Nothobranchius furzeri: one gene and its partner. The protein of the gene in region 1 binds, or shares a complex with, the protein of each later gene. Links are inferred from orthologs where the notes say so. Each region holds a gene or a part of one and is shown on either strand. Other genes may lie near its edges.

The links. The genes of interacting proteins can lie anywhere in the genome.
Region 2: lin52 (region 1) and mybl1 share a complex: the UniProt entries of both Homo sapiens proteins name them as parts of the DREAM complex. The link is inferred for Nothobranchius furzeri from reciprocal best matches to the Homo sapiens genes LIN52 and MYBL1.

The regions. Positions count from the first base shown.
Region 1 is NC_091758.1:32,967,331-32,972,404, reverse strand, and holds the start of lin52 (protein lin-52 homolog), read right to left. Parts: upstream 3,453-5,074; 5' UTR 3,370-3,452; coding exon 3,351-3,369; intron 2,109-3,350; coding exon 2,034-2,108; intron 1,959-2,033; coding exon 1,921-1,958; intron 1,827-1,920; coding exon 1,760-1,826; intron 1,578-1,759; coding exon 1,494-1,577; intron 89-1,493; coding exon of another isoform or gene 63-88; exon of another isoform or gene 1-62.
Region 2 is NC_091747.1:51,691,088-51,696,284, reverse strand, and holds the start of mybl1 (myb-related protein A), read left to right. Parts: upstream 1-1,716; 5' UTR 1,717-2,337; coding exon 2,338-2,360; intron 2,361-3,775; coding exon 3,776-3,875; intron 3,876-4,019; coding exon 4,020-4,091; intron 4,092-4,233; coding exon 4,234-4,326; intron 4,327-4,803; coding exon 4,804-5,024; intron 5,025-5,100; coding exon 5,101-5,197. UniProt on the Homo sapiens protein: Transcription factor that specifically recognizes the sequence 5'-YAAC[GT]G-3'.

The DNA.
Region 1 (5,074 bases):
ATCGCTGTCCCCAGAGATTTGGGGCTTGATGCCCACACTCACATCCACGACTGGGGCATTCATCATGGGGCGGGGTAACAGCTGGGGCCTGAAGAGGAGGCACGCGTCAAACCCCTGTGGGACTAACTGGGCCGGCGTCACACCGCCACTCTTTAGGAGTGATGGAGGAACGGCCGTGTGCTGCATCCTCCCTTCACAGCTTTAATAACACGTCATACAGATGTACACAAGCAAAGGCAGGAATCTTAATGATTTCTGCTTAGAGCTATTTTCTCACAGCAGAGTGGCGGCGGAGTTTCCACTGCTTGATTGTGTCGCGCCCATTAACCAGCTCGCTCTTTTAATGATCCACATGTTATGGGGGAGGGGCAGTAAATCCTGTCCTCTGCGGGGCGTGTTTACGGGCAGTGAAGAGCGCACAAACATGATGAAAAAGTAGCTGAGATTTACCGGCCTCCCCTGACAGCCAGGAAAAGAAGAAAATTAAACCAGAGAGCATTAAACAGGCAGCGATTACAGGCCTGCTCTGACACCAATAATAACCATCATTGTGTCCCGTCATCCCCGAGTACATGACATGACTGCAGAGGCTGCGGCCCTGCACCTATGACAGCTAGCGTCTTCATACCAGAGCCACTACACACTTCCTCTGCTGGAGGCAAGGCAAACAAATCATTTCTAAAATTAATTATTTCACAAAATGAATCAATCTGATTTCTGCAACATTAAAATATTGATTTGCTTTACCACCAAATGTAGATCACTCTGGGGTGATTTTTTTATTATAGATGAACATTTTCTTGTTAAAGTGGCATTAAAGTTTTATTAAACCTTCTACAAACTATTTATTATCATTAAAGAACCGACATCATGGCTGCCATCTACCCTGCTGTTTAAACTCACATTATTTTACACAATTTGCTACCATTTCAGTTTATTTACACATGTCGCTGAAGAGGAGGTGTACAACGATTCTCTTACGCTAGAAACATTAAAAACATTTTTATCTTCTTTTAGGATAATATCAGCACTTAGCTACATCTCTCTAATCCACACTCCAGAAGGATTATTACAATGGAGGCGGGAGGGAATGGATTAAAACAAGAGCTTGTGCATCCATCATATTCTTGAGCATTTGCTTGTGTGAGCTCTTGGTGGCATGCACTCATTTCTTACTTGTTTACATTTAACAAGACTGACCTAAATCCTTGTTTTAAAGATCTTACGGCCAACCTGTTTTATGCAGACTCTAAATTACAATTGCACTTTCAATAACATCTACTCTGATTTTGAATAATAAATAACATCCATGTGATTTTAGCCTATTTTGAACAAACAAAAAGTAAATCTGATTCTGCAACTAAACGTAGTAGTGGAAAGGCTACTAGCACCACCTGGTGGTGATAGACGTAAACAGCTGATTGGGAAAACTAAAAACTACACGAACACATCACAGCCTATGTTTTCATGTTGTTTGTGTGTTTTGTACTTACACTCCTCTAAACCCAGCTGGTAAGCCAGGTTCTGAAGTCCTTTGACCTTCTCCATCAGGTTAGCTGTTGTCAGACTACCCAGCTCTGCAGAGTGATTACAAGGCAAAGATTTTAAGCTCCAGTTTGATCAACTCAGTTTCTCCTTGACAAGATTATATATTTATGGAAACACTAACCAGTACAACAGTTTTAACATGAAACGCTGCAGGCACAGAGAAAATCTTTCTAATTAAACATATATTAAAAAAAAAAACAATTGTACCAACCTTTTAACATCTCGATGTCCTCGCTTTCCAATTCAGCCATCCACTTAGGGGGTGAGCTTGTAATGGGCTGTAATAAAAATAAATGATATTATACGGCAATGCCAAATCTAAATGATTATTTAATGTATTAATCTCAGTTAATGACAAAAAACGTATCTTACGTTTTTATAGGATGCAGCAAATTCTGCAACTCCGGGTACTGTGTGAGAAATGACAGGACAGATAAGGTTAAACTGTGGGACCATAAAGAAGCACAGAGGAGATGAAAACTTACACTGCTCAGGCCACAGGTCTGGTGACGCTCTGTCCAGCTTTTCTAAACTAAGCAAAGAGCTTTCAAAATCATCACCTGGCAAAGAAAAGGAAGTAAAATTATGTTCAGAATTCAGGCAGAAATTTCAGAGCTTTAGAACAAAATGTGATCTTCTTGATGTAAATACAAGTAAAATGTGTGACTTATGGACCATTCCCATCTGTACCGGGTCGGCCCGGGCCGGGTAGCCCCAGTCGGCCCCATCCTGGCCCGGTTGATTCCACACATCCTTGTCTTACGCCCATGTGGGCTGATTCTACCCACCAATCAGAGGCTTGCTCTAATGGAAGGTGTGAATTTGCTGTCAGCAGTGGGTGTGTTGGCCCTGGTCGGCCTGAAGCAGACCCCCTCGAGAAGAGGGCTGAGAATGAGCCTTGGTTGGTCCGGAAAAATACCAGGCCACCCAGATATGTAAACAACCAACGCTACCCGGCCCGGACCGACCCGGTACAGATGGGAATGGCCCATATGACTACAGCCAAACAAATGTCAAAATGTAACCACAACAGTTAATACAATATGTTGGCTGTATTAAAACAAAATATGTGTACAAGATAAATACTGATTAATCAGCTGTTCTTAAAAAAATTACTAATATTTGGGAGGTTTAGTTTATTTATCATACCTTTCATTTTTAAATGTTGCTTGATTCAAGTCCCTATACAACCATTTCTGCTAGGCTGTGACAACAACTGTGTGCTGATTATTCAAAAACTATTCTTAAAACCAATATTTAGTGTAACAATTTGTGTTAGCATTATGCTTCCTAATACATGACCCTACATAGTGTGTGTGTGTGTACATATATATATATATATATATATATATATATATATATATATATATATATATATATATATATATATATATATATATATATATAACCTTTCAAAAACCTTTCAAAATATGTTGATGTGAAACAAATAATGCCTCAAAATGTTGGAAAAATGTCGTAAATATTAATTATTAGGCCAGTATTTAACAAAGAGGCAACTCAAAAGCTAGTAGTATTTAAAATATCAGGAGTTACGGAAGGTCTGCAGCCAGCTGTCTACTGTTCTTCCTTGAACGTTGGTGGACTAACAACACCGGGGCTAGTGGAGCCTTCAGTCAAACAAAACCACCTCCGAGAAGTCGGACTACAACGCTGATATGTGTAGTTCTGAATTCTGGGTGTTCAGCTACATCATCAATACATTCGTGGAATAATTTGTGTGATTTAAAGTGTTAAATTTTACATTTTTTAACAGCGTATCTGTGTAAGGAATTAAAATTTACCTCCATTCGGAGACGCCATCTTCACAATAATCACGTGACCCGTGACAACGAATAGGAGTCAATGTTGACAAAGCCTTGTAAATTCACAAACACACCACAAGAGGTCACTCTTACACACCAAAGCCGTGTTCCTGGGGGTAAAATGAATAAACTAATAATTTTATAATAAGTGTCAGGGGCGATCCTAGCATCAGAGGTTTAGGGGTGCTAAGCACACAGCGAGTTCCATGGCCAGGCAAGATACATTTCAACATTTTGTACAATTTTACACAATTTCATTCCAACATTTGTGAAAGAAAAGAAAATCGGTGTTTTTACAAATAGATCTGTGGTTTTACATATCACAATCTATGTTGAACAGATTTTGCTATCTGTGTACAACAATTTGGTCCAAGTTCGAAGAGTCTGGGTCAGTGGTTCCCAACCCTTTTTCTTTGATGACCCAATACAGGATCTATTTTATGGTTTTTGGTGCAATATTTTCTAACAGTGAGTGAAAGTCCGTTTTATTTATTTCTTTTTTTTGTTTGTTTGTTTTATTCATTTATTTAGAAGTTCGATTCTGAACATTCTAATGTTAACAAGAGTTTTATTTGCTGCATTTTAAAGGGTGTACTTGCATTATTATGATATATTAAAATTATATAAGTGATTATTTTGGTCTCGATAATGTCAACAATAATATTGTTTATTGGCAATAATTTGTTGGACAATATATTGTCCTGCAAAATCTGTTATCGTCCCAGGCCTAGTTCACTTGTACAAACTACTTAAAAATTAAAAATCAGCAAATCTATTTTATTTTTCTGTGTACAACAAAATTTTAGCTATTAGCTATAGCTGGGGCTATTAGCAGTTAAAACAGAGATGGATTTTTTTTAAGCTTTATTAAAATAAGAGGCTAAATATTCTCTTCAGAATGTCTAAAAGGAACGTGCAGTACCAGATTTCAGTTGGAAATTAGAGTGTCGTTCTATTTATTGCCAGCGGAGCTAGCAACTATATGTGATTGAATTTTTGAAAAATCTAAAGAGGCTAAATATTCCCTTCTAAATGGATTTAAAAATCGGATGTGCAGTATCAAATTTCAGACACTAGAGGGCAGCAAATACTCCCTTCTTGTCTGCATGCAGTTGGAAACCTGTGTTGTTCTGTTATTTGCCAGCAGAGGGCGCACATTCTCCATTCTTTCAACGAAACAAGTGTTTTAAAAAATAGAGCAAGAGTTTCTACTAAGTCCGTCTTGTAAAAATCTATTTAGACAAAGAACAAAAAGAACCCATATTCAATTTGGTTACTTGTTTCTTAACTTATAAACTTTCTAAATAAATTATATCACTTAAAAGTAATGCAGGTTTTAAATTAGTGTTAACAGCATAGTCAAAATAATGTGAAAGCCAGACGTTTTCACTTAAACCTATTAAAACTCAACAAATCTATTTATTTTCTGTGTTCAACTGAAACTTTGTCAACGAACTACAGCTGGAGATATTAGCAGCTAGCAACTAAACATTACAATTTCTTTTAAAGCTTTATTAAGATAAAGAGGCTAATAATATTCTCTTCTAAACGGCTAAAACGTGATGGCGCAGTACCAGATTTCAGACACTGGAGGGCAGCAACTCCAATCTTTCCTTCTGTCTTTTGGAAATCAGACTGTTGTTCTATTATTTGTCAGCCGGGGGCGCTAATTCCCCCATTCGTTCAAGGCAACAAGACAGGTT
Region 2 (5,197 bases), on another chromosome or scaffold:
ACTGAGTAAAATACCGCTGACCTATATCATGTTTTGGTACAGATTCAGCTCAACAGAAAATAAGAAGTCAAATACTTGTCTTAAAAAATGTGAAGGATATAAGTCTGTTGATGATCTGCCTAAGCAATTAGATTAAAAAGAAATCTGAGCATTGTTTCCACTCTGAGCTTTTTAGAAGTGACACTCTGAGCCGAATCGCTTAAAAAGAAGGATGTGTTTACTAGCTTTAGTCTGTTATCACGACTCAGCAGTGAGTTGGTGATTTACACTGAGGGCATTGGCATTAACTAGCATAACGCAGCTAATCGTTTTGCTTTCAAAGCTAAGTTTTAATAGGGAAATGGAGAGTGAGTTTATTTTAGCAGTCACACGTCACATCAAGTAAAAAGCAAACAACCATAGGGTTAACTACAAATGGAAAGACGTGGATTTCCAAATAAATTCAGACAAAAGAAAAAAACAAAAGTATATAGGCTAGAAGTACAAGACAAACTATAAGAATAATCTTTTGTGTTACACTATATTAAAAAATCAGGACAATATTAAACCTGAAGCAAAAAACAGCTCAACACACAAATAAAAGCATTTCCTCACCTCTCATGAACGTCAGGAGAAGCAGGAATTTGTGTGTTTTTCCTGCACAAGGTTCCAAATATTAATACCAGCAGCCAAATACTCTATCAACCACATTTTCTTTATTTCAAAATAAAACTAGGTAACAAAGTCTTTTACACATTTTATGTATATTTATATGTCTTTATTTATTATGATTTTTACAAAAACAGATATATGCACACATGTATTATTTCTTGCAGCTACAATCCAAGTCTTTCTGCAGCATTTTAGGCCATTACTCTGATTTCTAACAAGCTCTTTGCATAATTCAAACAAGCTTTAATTCAGTCGCTGTTATCTTTATGCTGGTAGTCTAAAAATACTTGTGCAATTATGATGCAATAGGAAATTGCTCATTTTGTAATCAGATTCAAAATTGTGTGAAATCGCACAGTATAATTTGATTATTATTATTATTATTTCATATTGTTATTGTAATTATTATTTATAATAACGTGAGTGGAATTAAAGAGGCTTTTATTTTCATCAGAATACAACGATCCTACTTCCGCTTTTCCGTCTTTAAGAAGCACACAGTAGTCTAACAGTGAAAATGGGACACATGAGGGACACCTACTATTAGAAAACTGTAAAATGTCTCATAATTTGCATCCAAAATTTTAAAGGCTTACAGGGGAACAAAAGAAAACTTTCTATTGTTATTATAGATAGTTTGTCTGCTAACCACTGCAATAAAAAAAATTCAGAGATACTAATGCTAAGATTGCATGTCACGGGGAAAATGGGAAAAACACCGGTGAAAGTCTAAATGCCCACTAGATGGCAGCAAATTCCAGTTTCTTAAGGCGGCAGAGAAAGTTCGCTCTCAAACACAATGCAAATATTATTATATCACAAAGATGATGTAATATTTTGAGTCACAGATGTTTTATCATGCCAATTATGAGCAACATACATTTCACAGTTTTGCACACGAACCCTACATGATCTGCGAAGAACTTCACGAGGAGCTATATGTTTAAGATATGAGTGATTAAATGTGCAAATGTTTGTTTTATGGGAAAATAGGTTCCACATCTTCTGTCACCAACATCCCCAAAGGACCAAAGCCCCCGCAGCCCCGTCAACCCGTCTGAACCCACCACATCCATTCTCCCGAGGAGTTGTGAAAGTGAACACCCGCCTCCCTCAAATCTCATCCAATGAAGAGTACGCTCGTGAAAAATTCAACCAATCGGTTACGAACAGTTCCTCCTCAATTGACCTATTAGCTTTGAGCATTCACTTCTTTTTTTTGGCAGCCCAGTTTTGACCAATAGGAACCGAGGCCGCCTGCGCAGAGGGCTGGGCGCGAGAATCGGCGGGATGGACAAAAATCATAACGCCACGGAGCTGTACGCACAGGGGAAAGATTACGAGAACCCGTTCTGACGGCGAGTAATGAAAGTAATGTGTCGGTTCCTCTATCTAAATTCCGGCGTTTTGTTGTGTAACACTACATTTTTAAGAAAGACGTACCAGCAAGGGACACAAGGACGACTTTCATATCTGCCGAGACGATTTTATCGGAAGTGAAAATGGCGTTTGCACAGAGAGCAATGTTATGAAGACAGTTAGCCCGTTAGCTAGCCGCACAGTTACCGCAAACAAAACAGCAATGACTAACATCAGTTTCTATGGATAAACCTCTGTTAATGCGGGACTTCAGAAAATTTCCAAACACAGCTTCGTCTTTGATAATATTCAATCATCCTACTGGCTATGGACAACGTCAAGTCACGCAGGTAGGTGATTTTATTAGATATGGTTCACTTGCCATCTTTTTGTTTGCCCCTTGTGATCTTATCAGCCTATAAATGTAATAATTTTGGATAATTCAGCCTGAATGTTGTGGAAGCAGGGTGGGCGTTAACGTTCATGTGCACCTGAACATCTCAGAAGATCTACTGTAGAGGGATATAATAAAGAACAACAACAATAATAATAATAATAATAATAGCATAATAATTCAAAAGAGCATTACCCAAAAGTGTAGTACTGGCTGAATTAACCCTAAATATTTTTGTTAGCCTCAAGGATAACCTGCTGACTTTATTATAACTTGAAAGTCACTTTGGACAAAAGCGTCTGCTAAATACATCAACATAAATGAATAAAAAGCAAGACTAAAGTGCATACTGCAGTTTACTACTATTTCCCCCCTTCATTCCTTTTTTTTACTGCAGGGCAAAAAAGACGTGGAGAAATAAACCTATAAGTCCATGAAGCTCTTTTAATGTACTCTGTCTCTGAGTTGAGAAGTAATTTAAACCAAAAGCAGTAAATACTTGAGTCATGTGATTCCTAATCAAATGTTGCCATATTATGATGCAAAATGTCACATTGATTGCTGTATTTATTCGTTGGTTACTGATTATGAAAATCTGTGTTTTTGGCATCTAACTCACAAAACCGTGTCAAACAAACTAAATTGTTGAAATGATCATGTTAAACTGTTTTTTGATTTTTTATTAATTTAAATAACCAGCAAAACTGTCGCAACTAAAATATAAATCATCACTGAAATCTTTCTTTTGTTTATCAGGGTCAGTTTCAGTCCTAAAAAATTAGGACATTTTGATATTATTGGTAAAAAGTATTCCAGGTATTGCTATGTGATTTAAAATTATGCTAAGCTAAATGCCAGGACTTTATATTAGTGTGTTTATTTTGTATTTTGAACCAGTGGACCGTTAGGGCTTTGCCAAGCCTTTGACCACACCTCCACCTTATTCACAGAGGCTCACTCTCATGCACCTCTGCTACTGAAAGGCTGCTGTTGATGCGAGATCACCAGTTTCATTACACCTCTCCTTCCTGTTCGACTTTACGTCCAGACTCGGTCACTTTTCTCCTGCTCAAAGTGAGAAAATCTGGCCTCATAAAGGTTTCTACAGCAAAGAACGTCTTTTTTTCTTACTCAGATACAAAACCTAAGTCAGTGTTGCACAAATCCGGTCAAACAAGTAGTTAATGCCAACATTCTGAATTAGATTTAGCATGGTAAAACTGGGCTTTTGTAATCTCCCAAGAATGCAGTGAAGAACTGAAATGGGACCTGGTTTAGTTGTTGAGAAGAAAACACTCCTAAGGCACTGATGGTGAGCAGAAAACAATAGTGTTTTTACTTTTTTCTGCTTTTTTCACCTGTGTGTTTTAGCACTGATGAAGACGACGAGCTGCTTTCCACAGATCCAGAGAGTAAAGAAAAGAACAAAGATAAAAAGACGCTGTGCAAAGTCAAGTGGTCTCGGGATGAAGTGAGTTTTTCAAGTTCAGACTAAAAATGTAAATGACTGCCGCCCTAATATGTAAGAACAACTTTAATTGCACCCTCATTTAGAAAGATCAGGGTTAACATTTAATTCTCACCGTCTATATTTTCTGTTATTCTATTTTTTAAGGATGAAAAACTGAAGAAACTCATAGAGCAGCATGGAACTGAATCCTGGAAATTAATCGCTAACCTTTTTCCTGTGAGTATTAAACAGAAATCATTTTTAATATCTCCTTCTGACTCTTACCTGCACCAGCTGCATTTGGATGTGTAACTGCAAAGATACAGTTAAACACAGCTGTCATTGTAGCTGACAAAAGGTGTTACACTTTGTGTCACAGGGGAGGACAGATGGTCAGTGTCAGCACCGCTGGCAGAAGGTGCTCAACCCCGAGCTGGTAAAAGGACCGTGGACAAAAGAGGAGGATCAAAAGGTAAGTGGAGCTGGGAGGTTCTGTTTGGGAGAGAGGGATGACTAAAGAGCAGAAGGATAGCAGAGCTGTAGGGAGTTTGTGAAGAACGTAATATCTATGACACTCAGAGAACCTGTTGTGTCCTCACGCAGCTGTTTTCCCGCTTAAATTGGGTTTATTTATCCCCCACCCGCCCCTTTTCCTATTTGTGTGTGTGTGTGTGTGTGTGTGTGTGAAGTGAAATATCCATTACATCATTCTTTAAAGAAAAAAACACACATGCACACTTTCCAAAGCTAGAGTCCAGCCCTTTCTTAGTCAGGGAGATGTTTTTTTTAGCTTATAGAAATGAATTCCTTCAATGGATCAATGCTGCTAAATAATGTTCTTTAAAGAATAGATTCAAACTGATTTTATTACAAGTGTTTACATAGAGCCTAATGAGCTTTGTTTATGCCCGGGCTATTTATAAATGCTTGTGGTTTGCTGTTGGTGCAGGTGATCGACTTGGTTCACAAGTATGGCCCCAAGCGCTGGTCCGTGATCGCAAAGCACCTCCAGGGAAGGATTGGGAAGCAGTGTCGGGAGCGTTGGCACAACCACCTGAACCCGGAGGTGAAGAAGTCTTCGTGGACTCAGGAGGAGGATCAAATTATCTACGAGGCTCACAAACGGCTGGGCAACCGCTGGGCAGAGATCTCCAAACTCCTTCCTGGACGGTAAAATAACACCATAGTGTTTTTATTTTCTTTCAGTCAGTAAATTTTAAAAGATGATCAATCCTTCCCTCAACAGGACAGACAATTCCATCAAGAACCACTGGAATTCCACCATGAGGAGGAAAGTGGAGCACGAGGGTTACCTGCAGGACGGCTGCAAGGCTTTCACCTCC